2 linked regions of the Alligator mississippiensis genome follow. The protein of the gene in region 1 interacts with the protein of each later gene in a pairwise test. Links are inferred from orthologs where the notes say so. Each region holds a gene or a part of one and is shown on either strand. Other genes may lie near its edges.

The links.
Region 2: the proteins of RGS19 (region 1) and GNAI2 interact in a two-hybrid assay, tested with the Homo sapiens proteins (2 studies listed by BioGRID and IntAct). The link is inferred for Alligator mississippiensis from reciprocal best matches to the Homo sapiens genes RGS19 and GNAI2.

Annotation. Positions count from the first base shown.
Region 1 is NC_081832.1:3,067,335-3,074,418, forward strand, and holds the start of RGS19 (regulator of G-protein signaling 19), read right to left. Parts: upstream 3,012-7,084; 5' UTR 2,892-3,011; intron 1-2,891. UniProt on the Homo sapiens protein: Inhibits signal transduction by increasing the GTPase activity of G protein alpha subunits thereby driving them into their inactive GDP-bound form. Binds to G-alpha subfamily 1 members, with the order G(i)a3 > G(i)a1 > G(o)a >> G(z)a/G(i)a2.
Region 2 is NC_081835.1:43,290,971-43,298,076, reverse strand, and holds the start of GNAI2 (guanine nucleotide-binding protein G(i) subunit alpha-2), read left to right. Parts: upstream 1-4,096; 5' UTR 4,097-4,215; coding exon 4,216-4,333; intron 4,334-7,106. UniProt on the Homo sapiens protein: Guanine nucleotide-binding proteins (G proteins) are involved as modulators or transducers in various transmembrane signaling systems.

The DNA of each region.
Region 1 (7,084 bases):
GAAATGCCCTTCTCCAAAGTGCAGGCTTCCTGCGAAGCAGAGCCTGCAGGACGATGATTTGAACTGGAGGAAGATGTGTTTCTGGAGGAACCTAGCTGGATGTGTCCCAAAGCTGGGGGGTGGACTTGATGGTCTATTCAGGTCCCTTCGGACCCTAACATCTAACAACATCTATGAATCAAAGAGCCCAGTGACAGGGGCCTGGTCCAGGCCGCTACAGCCTTGGGATCTCCTTCCTACAACTCAGGCTGCTCTCCAGACACGGTGGCAGTAATCAGCTTGCAAGACTTCTTGGAGAAGAGCAGTTAGCAGTGCTAACTGTGGCAGGCAGGCTGGCGTCTCTAGGAAATCTGGGTTCGAGGCAGCCAGCCCGGGTTTCAAGGGTCCTAGTGCGTGCATGGAGCTAACACACACGCACAAACTCACAGGGCCAGCGTGATGGCCTGACACGGACTGGCAGAAGACCTGATGCTAAAACAAGCTGTCACCCCTTTGGAGTGAAGTGCCAGGCACAGACAAAACCCTGCTGGAGAGTGCTTCACCCCTAGGAAAACCACCCGAGTGACAGACCGATAATCACCCAACAGGTAACCCAGAGGAGAAGGCTTAGACAAGACTCAGAGCTATTACGGGTGCATCATTTTTTATCCTAACGTGTACCTCCAACCCGGAAGTGCACTGAGCAATAACGCACACTGAGCAATAGCACGCACTAATGGTTATCCGAAATGTGCACTGAGCAATAACGCGCACTGAGCAATACCACGCACTAATTTTTATCCGAAACGTGCACTGAGCAATAACGCGCACTGAGCAATACCACGCACTAATTTTTATCCGAAACGTGCACTGAGCAATAACGCGCACTGAGCAATACCACGCACTAATGTTTTATCCGAAAAATGCACTGAGCAATAACGCGCGCCTCCAAACTGGATCTTTTTTTCAGCTCATGCTAAGGTGGGAGGTGGCTGAGTTGGTTCAAGATATGTCAGGCCTCAGGTCTCCTGGGAACAGGCCTCTGACAGCTGTAGTGAGATTGCAAAGATCCCTATAAGTTCAGTCTGCTCAGAGCTGGCTTCTGGGTTTAACCTCACCCGCTTCCCACACCCCGGAACATTTAGGCAATTTTCACCCAATGTTACCACCTCCTCCTCGCCCCTGTCTTGAGCCACTGTCTGTTGCATCATGAGATGAGCTCTTTTCCTTCCTAGCCACCCTCCCCCCGGCCCCCGGATACTACCCAGTATGCTTTTTAAACTGAAAAGGCAGTTATTCACACAAAGCATTTCAATAACTGGCTTTAAAAATGTTGCCTCAAAGCCTCTTGAAAGTTGCAAATGAATAGGCAAAAGCCAATAAGCAAGTGAAGGGAAATGCTAATGAATATTGTGGGGCAGGGGTTCCCCCTGGACCGTGCAGGGATCCAGCAAGGGGTGAGTGATGCCGGACCCCGGCAGAAACAGGTAGCAATGGTGACCAGAAGAAAACTCGGGGACCGTCTCTTATGTTTTATTTTGGGCCTTCGTACAGAATCAACCCCTCTGCCAATAAGTTAACAAACACCACACGCTGCTGGGGTTTTTGAGATGCTCGTGGTTGTACGTATTGATTCTGTGTCACAAGAGCCTGCGAGGACAAAAAAAACCCCAAGCAGGAAGGGAAAGGAATAGCTTGTGACCCCTCAGCAAATGCTTGTGGCCTGAGCTTTGAGGATTTTACCTTCTTGACAGCCAACCTGCACCACGAGAAGGCTCGAAAGGGCCATGGCAGGTTGGCGTGGAGCTTGCTCTCTCCCCCGGGAGAGGGGAGGCTGGGATTGGGGTGGGTGCACGCACCCAAGTCAGCTCCGAAACCTGCCAGAAACCTCGCTCTCTTCTAGGAGACACCGGCTGTTGTTTCAAAACCCTCCCTCTCGAAGGTGGTTTTTAAAGAGGCTGTTTTGCCACCGAACGCCGCGGGTCTCAGCAACCTCCGGTTCTCCGCCCAGTCCTGCCGGATAAGCGTGCCCGAGACAGACGCGAGGTACCGCAGCTCACCGTCCCACGCGAGAGCGGAGGCGTCGTGAGATGCCACGCGGGGACGGACAGGCACGTGTCGCCCGGCACTCGGGGGCGACAGGGACGTGGCCTACCCCCTCGCCTCTGCTTCCCGACATCCGCAGGCCGTGCCCCGGGCTCCAGCAACACGGGACCCCCACCCACGACGCCTTTTATTCTGCATTGGCGCGGAGTTATTTCCTGGAGGGTGACGGCGGGGAGCGACCCCGGTAGCGCAAGCTGGGGGAGCCCTCCCGTGCGCTCCCCGAAGCCAGGCCAAGCCGCCTGGCCCCGCGGCTGTCGGACGGGGCGAGGGTCACCGGGATGGGGACGGGGCTCCGGAGGAGCCGGGGAATCCCTCCCACTCGCCCGACGCGTTTTGTCTGGCGTCTGAAATCAGGCCGTGGCGCCGTGCCAAGCCTGGGGAGCTTCCTCAGGGAGCCTCGGCGTCCCCCCCAGGTGCATCCCCAGGGGATGCTCCGGGACGGGCCAGCTCCCAGCGGGGTGGGCACGCCAGGCGGGGACCCCAGGAGTCCTGGCACGCCACGGTCGAGACAAAAGGCCAGTCCGGGCCCCCTGAGCGCGGCGCTGCCGGAGCTGGCACCCCCGCGCCCGCCGGCAAGGATGCCCCGGACCCCGCCTGCTGCGCCCGGGCACCCCCGTGCCATGCAGCCCCCCATGCACCCCTTGCCACCCAGTGCCCCCGGGCTTGGGGGGGGCTCCGCTCTCTCCCCGGTGCTCCGCTGCCTGCCCCCGCCAACGGGGCTCGCCCGCAGCCCGGGGCATCCTCCCCGGGGGATGCCCGGCTGCAAGGGGACCCCCCCGGCCGGCTGCCGCCTGCTCGCCACTCACGATCCGTGCATCCGAGTTGCGACCCCCGCGGCGGGCTCCGGGCCCCAGGCTCCGCCGGCTCCGCTCCGGCTCCGGCTCCGGCTCCGGCACCCCGGGAGGGAGAGCGAGCGAGCAGGGGCGGCGCTGCGCACGCGTCCCCCGGCCCCTGCGCCTCCCTGCCCCGAGCCGCTGCGGCGGCCGCCGCGCTCCGACAGCCCCGCGCTCCCACCGCACCGCGCCCTGCACCGCGCCCTGCACCGCGCCGCGCACCCCGCACCGCGAGCGGCACAGCCCGGCTCCCCACCCCGCCCCACGGCTCTACACTGTGTCCAGGGCTTGGGTGGATCGGGCTCCTAAAAAGCCTGGCTGCTTGCTGCATGCGCTCAGCACTTCTCCAGGGTTTGGGTGTATCAAGGTTCCGGAGGAAAAGCCGGGCTACCCACCCCATGGGCTTAGAAATTCTCCAGGGTTTGGGTGTATTGGCTCCTAAAATGCCTGGCTACTTGCTGCATGGGCTTAGCACTTCTCCAGGGTTTGGGTGTATGAAGGTCCTGGAGGAAAAGCCGGGCTACCCACCCCATGGGCTTAGAAATTCTCCAGGGTTTGGGTGTGTTAAAGTCCTGGAGGAAGAGCTGGGCTACCCACTCCATGGGCTTAGACAACGTCCAGGGTTTGTGTGTATTGGGCTCCTAAAAAGCCTGGCTACTTGCTGCATGGGCTTAGCAATTTTCCAGGGTTTGGGTGTATGAAGGTCCTGGAGGAAAAGCCTGGCTACCCACCCCATGGGCTTAGAAATTGTCCAGGGTTTGGGTGTGTTAAAGTCCTGGAGGAAGAGCTGGGCTACCCACTCCATGGGCTTAGACAACATCCAGGGTTTGTGTGTATTGGGCTCCTAAAAAGCCTGTCTACTTGCTGCATGGGCTTAGAAATTCTCCAGGGTTTGGGTGTATGAAGGTCCTGGAAGAAAAGCCAGGCTACCCACCCCATGGGCTTAACAATTTTCCAGGGTTTGGGTGTATTAAGGCCCTGGAGGAAAAGCCTGGCTACCCACCCCATGGGCTTAGAAATTGTCCAGGGTTTGGGTGTGTTAAAGTCCTGGAGGAAGAGCTGGGCTACCCACTCCATGGGCTTAGACAACATCCAGGGTTTGTGTGTATTGGGCTCCTAAAAAGCCTGTCTACTTGCTGCATGGGCTTAGAAATTCTCCAGGGTTTGGGTGTATGAAGGTCCTGGAAGAAAAGCCAGGCTACCCACCCCATGGGCTTAACAATTTTCCAGGGTTTGGGTGTATTAAGGCCCTGGAGGAAAAGCCTGGCTACCCACCCCATGGGCTTAGAAATTGTCCAGGGTTTGGGTGTATTAAGGTCCTGGAGGAAGATCCGGGCTACCCACCCTGCGGGCGTAGCAATTTGCCAGGGTTTAGGTGTCAAGCTGTTGCCCCCGTGGAGCCCAACACACGCACGCCCTCTGTTTTACTTTGGACACACACACCAGCTAGGCTAGAGAGTGTTTCTTCCCCCTTTGGGCACACGCGAGAGTGTGTCTTCCTGCAGGACCCTGTTCCACAATGGATGGCGCGGCTCTCTTGACTCGCAGAGGTGAAAGATGAGGCCTCGGCCATATAAACTTTCCCTCAAATCTGTAAAGCCGTCTCTGTTTCAGCAAGGCAGATGTCAGTCTTGTCCCTTCCCCCCACCGCAATTCAATCAGGACTCAAGTCCCTGGATTTGCTTTAGGATTTAATTTAGCTGGAAGGTCTGAAATGTCTGGAGGCTCCTTCAACATCTCCAGGAAATGTCTGTTATCTCCTCCAGAGCCCCGGGGGCTGTGCTTTGCTGCTCCGGGTAACCCCAATCAGATGCATTGCTCCAAATATTGCTAAAAAAGACTGCAGACCGTTGTTGTTTTATTTCTTTTTAAACCATCTCCTTTCAAAAAAAGAAAGAGCAAGATGCAGGCCGGGGCATTTGCTTCCAGATGACACACCAAGTAGCACTATGGATGAATAACTCTCCGCTCAATCTGCCCCCTGCATGCCACAGACAGCTTGTCCTTATTATCTCCTTCTTTAAACATCTATATAGTTTGCAGGAGGAGACACATCTTTGTAGCAATTACAAATGCCACGTTGAATAACCAGGAGGCCTGATCTGATTTGGCTTTGATGTTTTGCCAGGCCCTTTCCCCACGCCCTCCACCCCCCCATAAAAAGCCCTGGCCCATTTGGACAGCTGGTAGTAACTTCTGGGAAAAGCCAAACTTAATCTCACCGGTGCTCTGGAAAAGAATCGAGGAGGGACGTGACGATCTTGCTGCCTGTAAACGGTTTTATTACATTTGAGCCATGCTTCACGACTCCAGGAATGATCGGTGGCATCTCTGCAGTGATCACTGGACTGTTTAGAAACAGGCCACCTTAAGCATAGTTTAATACTGATTTTGCACGACTCCTTGGTAAACCTTGAAAACAAATCCCGAACCCTTTCATCCCTCTTTTATCCAAATCTCCCAACTTCCCTGTTTAGTCTCCATCTTTCTCTCCACTTAAAAAGCATGAAGGAGTTTGGAGATCCCCGCACGCGATTGGTAATGTTTGCTGGGAATTTACATTTTATTAAATGCATGCCATTGGCACGGTCCTGGTTTAGGTTCCCTGCTTATTTGGAGCAGAGCAGGACTCGGCCATAGCTGTGCTGTCCAGTTGCTCAGTGCATCCGGCTGAACAGGGGTTGATATGAGGAACTGCACAGTAACTGAAACCCATCCATCCTCCCATCCCATCCCCCACCACATATTAATTACTGATGGAGAAGGCATCACCTGGTCGCATTGCCTTGGCTTGCAATATTGACTGCATCCGGCAGGTGTCACCCAACTCCACCACTAGAAGAGTCTTGCTTTTCTCGGCCTCTTGTAAGAGGCTGAACCTTGAGGGCGGTTGCTTGTCCCATGGTCATCCATGGTTCCTAGCCCCTACGCATGGTCCTGGGCATGGCGGGCTTCCCTGCTGTGCCTTCCCTGGTGAAATGGGTATTGGTTGTAGCCGTGCCGGTCTAAGCACATAGGCAGACAAGGTTCTTTGGGTGAATACATCCCATATCTTGTACCGGACCAACCAAAATGTTAGTTGATCTAATAAATGAGATCGGATTTACCCAAAGGACCTTGTTGCCCTGGTGGAATGCAATCGTGGGACGCAAATGTCCCCATGTCCTCTAGCAACGCCGGATGGTTTCTGCCCACGTGCCACGTTTTGGAGACCGCCGCAACAACAGGAATTGACAACGGCGTTATCACCTGCACCAACCGGGATTGAACTGAATTCCCGGGTCCCTGAGTGGAGCCAGCAGCTGCCAAGGTGTAAACACTAATATGCTTAAACCAGAGTCCAAATCAGCCTTGCTATGCTCTTGACATAGGTTGCTCCTGGTGTTGTTTGGCTTCGACCCTCTTGCGGGCAGGGCCTGATGCCATCCAAGCCCCTGGCTAGGGAAAGGCCGTGGCTTTCCAGGAATGCCTGGGGAAAGTTGACTGATGACCAGGGCTATTGTGTGGGGATCCCAGAGGTGTCTGGGGCCACGGATAGAGCCTGATCGAACAGCGCTGAGAGAGTCATTGTGTGGCATCATGGATGACTTGGATTTAGCATCATGTGGCTTTCTTGACTTCATGGCTCATTATCACCTCCTTGATTCCTCCTAATCTCTCTCCACTCCACGGGTGGGAATGACCCCGTCTCCTTTTTAATGGTCTTGGTGTTTCATTTTGCCAACTAGCCTTTCTTCTGCAATTTGGCTGTCTGTTGGCCATTCCTGGTAACGTCTCTCTTATTTCACAGCCCTGCGGATTGTTTTTAGCTCTGGCTAAAAACCTTAACTCAGGGGTGGTCATATTCACTCAGGTGTAGAAATGACTGACGGTTAATTATGGAGGCACTATCCACATGCTCAAAACGGCTAGATTTTGCTTTATGAACCTGAAGAAGAGATGTACATCTAACCATAATGACTACAGGACTAATGAGGAAATATCTCTTGAAACTGGTAGTTTGACTATTTTTTGCCTAATTTGTGGCATTTAAAAAAAACCAAAAAACCTTCAAACTAGCAAATGAATGCACATACCAATCATTATATTTGTTTTTTGCTTTATAAAGGGAATAATGTAGTACTAGCCCCCCGGCATATCAGTAAACTGTGTAGTTTCATTTAACT
Region 2 (7,106 bases), on another chromosome or scaffold:
GGGGAAATGAGCACCAGGAATCACCTCAGCTTTCTGGCCTTATTTCTGGGACACGGAGAGTAAAATAGCAAAGTCACCAGCCAGACTCCCTCTTCCAGAGCTTAGCACATCCACCTGAACAAACAAGCTGAACACCCTTCACAAATCACCATCAACAGGGCAGGTCTAGGTGTATAGCTCTCTGGCCTGCTCCCTGTTCCTTCTGCTAAAATGAAAGTCCCTGCTGTTCTGCTAGCTAGTGACCAAATTGACTTTGGCTTTCCACCACTAGAGGGTGGAAAGGTACTAAGCACATACCAGTGAAGTGAGGCTGATCTCATGAAACCAACTAGGAGCAGAGGGAAAGGAAGCCTCACTCATTTCTTGGCCTACCTGTGATCACCAAGAAGGGACTTTCAGATGGGCCTCTGGTCAGATGCCTGGGGTTTGCTCCTGAGATGCACCTCTTAGGAACCAATGGGAACGGGGAACCAAGGTGGCTTTATCTTTGTACTGTCCGGATTCTGGGCTGGCTAGAGATCACAACAGTCTGAGCATATATTAACAGTGACCCTAGGAGGTTTAGAGCAGCAACCTACAGGTGTCCCATAGCCCAGTCTCCAGGGTGGCATGTAATATGGAGACTCCTTACCCCAGGGCTTGCAAGTGCAGGGGGGCAGCACGGGGACTAGAATTTGCTTTCCCTATGATCATGCTTGTGTGTGCGCGCGTGTGTGTTCATTTGCATTCCCTGTATACTCTAGCACATGAATTTCTTGGCAGGAAGGATGATGCAAACAGTGAATTTTCAATGACTGTGGCAGGTTATTTGCAAATTCTACGAGAACTACTCATCCAGTTTGGGAATAGAAACAATATCACATGAGTTATGTTATGTGTCCCATCCAAATCAACCAGTGCAGCTTGAAATATTGAATTCTTATAATAAACTGATAATATAGGCAAATAATTGCTTACAAGACTTGGCTACTGAACAATTTTAAACAATAAAAAAAAGTTGGAAGTATACTGTCTGTGAGTATCCTAGTTTCTAACAGAAGACTGGGCAAAAAAATAATTGGCTTCTCTTGGCAAGCAGTGACAAGCATGGGTTCTCAGACTGGGATCACAGACAGGGTAAAAAGAGTTAAAACCACCTTACTCTATAGTATACAGGCAACCCTCGCCATTTGTAGGGGATATGTTCTCTCATCCCCCGCTAATGGCGAAATCTGCGAATAAGGCACTGTGTTCATGAACGCAGTGTTCCCGGTGGCGATGGGGGGGCACAGCAGTGGCGGCAGGAGCCCAGCGGCAGCAAGCGCAGAGTACCTGAGGAGCTCCAGTAAGTGTATAAAGTGTATTTAAATGTGGGTTCAGCACTTGTGAATATTAGAAACCGTGAATGCCGAACCCACGAATAGCAAGGGTTTCCTGTATAGCTAAATGGGAAAGATGCTTCTCAAAGGTAGAGCAGTTGGGGGTCCCAGGCTAGAAAAGGGAGTCCCACTATTGACTGGCTGCTGATATGCTGAGATGACTACCTGTCATTGTCACTTTGTACTCTCCAACTGCAGGCTTATAGTCATTTTTTGTCTTGGACTTAGATTGTAAGCTCTTTGGGGAAAAGTTTTATATTCTGTGTGTTTTACGGTGCCTGACAGTGGGAACATGGTCCATGAAAGATTCTTATGTGGTATGGTAATAACAACAACAGTAATAATAATGATGATGATGATGATGATGATAATAATAAATGAATTGTTTGTTCTGCCCAGCAATCAAAACTGTAGGGGCACTGGTGTGGGAAATCTGAAACTGAGACTGTTAACAAATAAACAAAGCATGTATGAAAATTCTCTCTTGGGCCTCAATTTGATGGACCCTTGACAACACTTTTCTTTTGAGCCTTACTTTCTGTGTTTGGGGTTCACTATACATATATGACACTGACATTTCATACAGAAAAATTATGCTTCTATGATGAGCAGAAGCAAATGAATCTTAGAAGGAAAATCTAACTGGTCTGGATTTCTTGTTGACTTGCAGTTTAGCCCAAATGCCTTCTAGGGGCTGGTGTAATCAGTATGTTGTAATATTTTAAAGGTATCAAGTATTTTCCTTCACCAAAAAAATTTCATTGATTGGCTAGTATGGTGGGCTCAGTTTTGATAGCATGTCTGATGACTGCATCTGAGATGTGCTCAGACTGGCCAGACAAGACATTGATTTTCTTTCTTAAATTTAGTCTATATTAGAAAGTTGCATCTCTAGCAACATTGGTACAATTAAAATGATACAATCCCTTCAAGTATGGACACTGGTGAACTGGTATAAAAGTGATGGAACATACCTTCCTATGTATATGTATAACAAGATAATGTTTGGTTCCAGGGACCCAGTGTAGTTCAGCTATCAGATCCACCTGCAAAGGAGCTATATGTTCATGTGTGGGGTGAGGGGATTCACGTAATGACTTTAAAGGACTATAGTACTGTTAGCATGATGGTCCAGGAATTATGCAAGAGAAAAGGATTTTTGGGGGATAATATCTTTTATTGGATTAACCACATAGCCGGGATAAAATTAAACAAACTTAAGAAAGCAAAGCATTCAAAAGCTTCTCTAGCTTTATCTCAACTATACGGTTAGTCTAATAAAAGAGATCACCCCCCAAAATCCTTGCCTTTCATTTAAAAGGCTACATAATGGGAGCTGGGCTCTTGCAGTTAAAGCAATGCCAGACCTCTAGAAACTGCAGCTATAGTGAGCAGGGGAATGGTTTGTCATCTTTAAATTTTACATTGGAAAATAAGATTGCTTGGAAAGAATTCCTGGGCATGGTAGTGAGTCTGTTCAGGGCTGGGAAAACGGAGAGGCTGTACAGATGTGGAGAATATGGCTATGTAGTTGGCCTCTGGAATGGAGGGGAAATGGAGACAACAGATAGCCTGGAGCCAGGCTGGGTAGCCTCTGCGGCTAGGGGAGGAAGGAGCAGGAGGAGGCTATAGAAGAATGGGGTGGGGGGTATTAAGCACCTTTTATAAGAACAAACCTCTGTCAATACTAGGGCCTGTACTGTTATAGCTATTTCAGGAAAAGCTAACCCCTATATGAAATAGCTACATTAACACAAAGCTTTGTATAAAGCAGATCTAAGGTTCTTCTGTCATGCTTGCTGCCAGATCTAGCTGTACGTTGCCATTGAATGGATAGGTCTAGTGTCTGAAATAGGCAGAACTTGGATTCTGGTTATGCGCTGATGTTTGAAAAGTGACTGCCCATTCACAGGTTTCCAAATCCTGCTTGTTGTAACCCAGCCATGGCATCAGTGGAGATGCTAGAACCGTTCTAATCATTGGCTTCTGCATGTGCTTATGTTGCTTCCCTATTTAAGGCATTATCTAGGGTCTACGCCAAGTGAACAGAGCTGCATCTTTGGTTTGCATCAGGAATACAGCACCTGCACCTTTTTAATAGGTAAGAAGTGTGAAGGGTGTCGCTGACAGGGCATGTGATCTGCCCTGATGAATGTCTTGATTGACTAGATCCTGGCAGCCAACCTGTGGCATGTGCCACAAGTGTCATGGGCAGCCTACGTGTGTGACACGCGGTAGAGCAGGGAGCAGAGCAGCAGCTGGCACAGGGAGTGGGAGGACAGGGGAGGGAGTGGATGTGACACTCGCGGAGGGCACCGGGCTGACCTTGTGGCACAGCTGCCAAAGACTGATGTTTGGGGCCAACCTTGCTGGCAGGCGACCTGGGCCCCACACGCTGTGCGAGTGCTCGGCCCCCGCCCGACCCCCTGCTTTGCTTTCTGCTCCCTGCCCCCGCCGCGCACCACGGCCCAGGCCGCCTCGTGGGTCTGGGCCCAGGGAGCCGGCGCTTCCCCGCCGCTCGGGGGAGCCCCGTCGGGCTGCTGCGACCCCGGCCCCAGCTGCCCCCTGTCCTCGGGGCACGGCTGCGGGCGGGCCTACCCCCGGCTCGGCACGCGGGACGGGTGGCGGGAGCGCGGCGGCGGCGGGGGGCGGCTCCGGGCCTGGGGCCGCCCACGGGCGGGGCCCGGCGCTGACTCAGGAGTTTCGGGCGCCGCCCGCCCCGCCCCGCCCGCCCGGCAGCGAGCGGCTCAGACCCCGCCGGCAGCCGGAGGCTCGGGCTGCGCCGCGCCGCTGACCGCCCCCGCTGCCGCACGCCCGGGCCGGGGCCCAGCCCAGCCCAGCCCAGCCTTGCGGCGCCATGGGCTGCACCGTGAGCGCCGAGGACAAAGCGGCCGCCGAGCGGTCCAAGATGATCGACAAGAACCTGCGGGAGGACGGCGAGAAGGCGGCCCGCGAGGTCAAGCTGCTGCTGCTCGGTGAGGCCCCGGCCCCGGCCCCGGCCCGCGCCCTCCTTGCCTCCATCCGGCGCGGCCTCCCCCGGCCCTGCCTGTGCCCCGCGCCCCAGCTCCTCTGCGCCCCGCCCCGGCCCGCGCCGCGCACGCCCCCCGGCCGCATCCCAGGCGGTGCCCCGAGCCTGGCTGCTGGATAAACCCTCCCCTGAGCGCTTCCTCCATGGGCACCCCGAGCTTGACACCCACTGCTGCAGCTCAGCTGCGCTGAGGCTGCCGTGGGCATCCCAAATCCAGGCACCTAATAAGCACCCCCTGATGCCCCAGGCTTGGGGACCTGCATCCCTTCAACCTCACAGATAAACTTCTAGCCCCACCCCTCCCCTTTCTTAGATGCACCCACATGGCTTGCAGTCTCCAGTGAACTCCCATAGCTGGCCAGTGACAGCCCCCAGCTGGGTAAGATGAAGCCTTTAGCTGTACCTGTTCACTTCTCCCTAAGTACAGCTTGCAGTTCCCATAGATTGCCCCAATAACATACTTGTCCTTCACAACCTGTAGATACGCGCCACTCAGTGTGCTCCTGAGACTCTGGTTCATACACCCCCATGGTGTCCATTAGGTCCTTCTTTACCCCACTTTCAGGCCAGACAGAGCCTCCAAAACAACTCCTCCCATTGTGTTCCTCAAGTAAAGAACTTGCTCCTCCTAGGTACCTCCTCTCTCTTGGTTGCACTGGTGTCCCTCTGCACCCAGCTGCCTGTCCCTCTAGCAAGCCTCCATTCCACCTCAGCATACCGTATCCACATCCTGAAATACCACCCTGTGTGTCCACATATCCCCCTAGCCATCCAGACACACCACACTCTCTTTTTCTCCCCACTTCCAAAAACGTTGTTCATCTGTCCATATTCATCTTCCAGTGACCCTGGTCAAATATACTCTTGTCTGTCTGTTATGCTTTTCCCCTGCTCTTCAACTGCATTCCCATCACTGTTTTCCCCAACGCCCCCTTGTATGAACAGTCCTGGAGAGAGCTTTGTGAGTGCCTGGTTCCCAGCTGTGCCACTTGTGCTGATGTGGGTGATGAGCTGTTGATGTTGAGGGCAGGGAACACCCTGTTAGGCAGAGCGGGAGGTGCCTGCTGCTGAGGGTGATGGTGACAAGGTTGTGGGGGGGGAATTGGAAGCCCTCATTCCACCTCTGACTTCTGTGATGACTGCATAGTGCAGCCAGCTGTGAGTTGGGGTCCTCCCCTGGGCAATGCAGCCCAGGGAGGCAAAACTATATTTGTTTCTTAGTCCTGCCTTTCTGAAACTCTGCTCAGTCAGACTGGGCACACAATTCTCTCTTTACCAGGAGGTATAAAGAGGGCCAGGGTAGGTAGGTTTCTCTCTTTAATCTTAGGTTAGTGGGAACTAGGGCTCCTGCAGCTGTGGTCAGCACTGTCTCTCAAGAAACCTGCTTCTCTTGCCCCTCCTTTCTCTTATCCTACCCTGCCCCCTTTCCTTCCCTCCCTCTCTCCAAACTAGAAAAGTAAACTGGCTGAAAACGAATCCTCCTGCTTTCTTAGTCCTTTCTCCCTTGTGAAGGAGGAAGCCCACAGGGAGGGGTCATCAGTTGATTTTCATTGATTGCTAAAATAACGGTCCAATGGAGGGAAATACTTTTTGCAAGGGAGAAAATGCCTCAACTTTGGCACCTTTTGGATAACTTTGAAGGGTGTATTGCTGCATGGAAAATGTATCCTGACAAGCAAAGTGAATTCAGTACTCCTTGATATTGGCTGCAGTTTGCTGCAGAGCAAATGTTGCTATGTTTACTGCTCCTAAAATATTTTTTCAGCTTGTTCTCTCCCTTTTTTTAGTTGGCAGCAAACTTTCAATCCAGCCTGAAGACTTTTCAGATTTAGGATGGTCTGATGTTAATAAGGATAATACTTAGCACTTGCATAAGGCTTGCTGTCTTCAAAGCACTTTACAGATACTAATCCCAGCTATCTCACAGCTCTCTGTTCTTTGCCTTTGGGGAAGTAAGCACATTTTAAAAAGAATTCCTAATTGGGTTTCATTTTGCTTCTGAAATGCCCAAGGAGAGCAATTCCTGATTCAGTTTTTTAAACCTGACCTAGGATTAGATAATGTTCACATAGTGAAAGAAAAACTTACTTGAAGTGGAAAGCTGAAATATTATGGGGTGAAGGGCAAAGAGGATATAAAAAGTAGTGTGACAAGAGAAAATCATTGCTGGTTTAAGCAATGCAAATAGAAAATGTTTGATGTTGATTTTTAAATAGAGGAAATGGAGTGGCAGGAAACAATGGTGAAATTGAGCAGCCATGTATTTGCATCTGAATAAATAATATCGCCTATTTTAAAATGTGCCTTATGGACAAAGCCATAATTTCTTGATTTTTTTTTTTTTTTTTTTTTTGGTACATTGTTGGCACACAACGAATATTAACATTCTTTTAAGGGAAAATCCCTGGGTATATTTGTTAGTAGGCCAGACAAATTGATTTTTTTTTTAAAGGTATTTCACTATGCAAAAATAGATCCAACTCTCCATGGTTTTGGGATGTGCTGGTATGGTCAGGGCTGACAAGGCGGCTAAGGCGGCTAGGTCATGATCTCATATCGAGGTCAGTGGCTGTGGGGTAGAAAGATGGCTCCCTGACTTAAAGGGCTTTTCAGTCATTGGGATCTGTTTGCAGAATGGGGTGGGGGCTTAGTTGGGGAAAGGTCTAAAAGCCCAGTTTATGGAAGCATGTATATGGGTAACCTCACTTGTGCAATGTGCT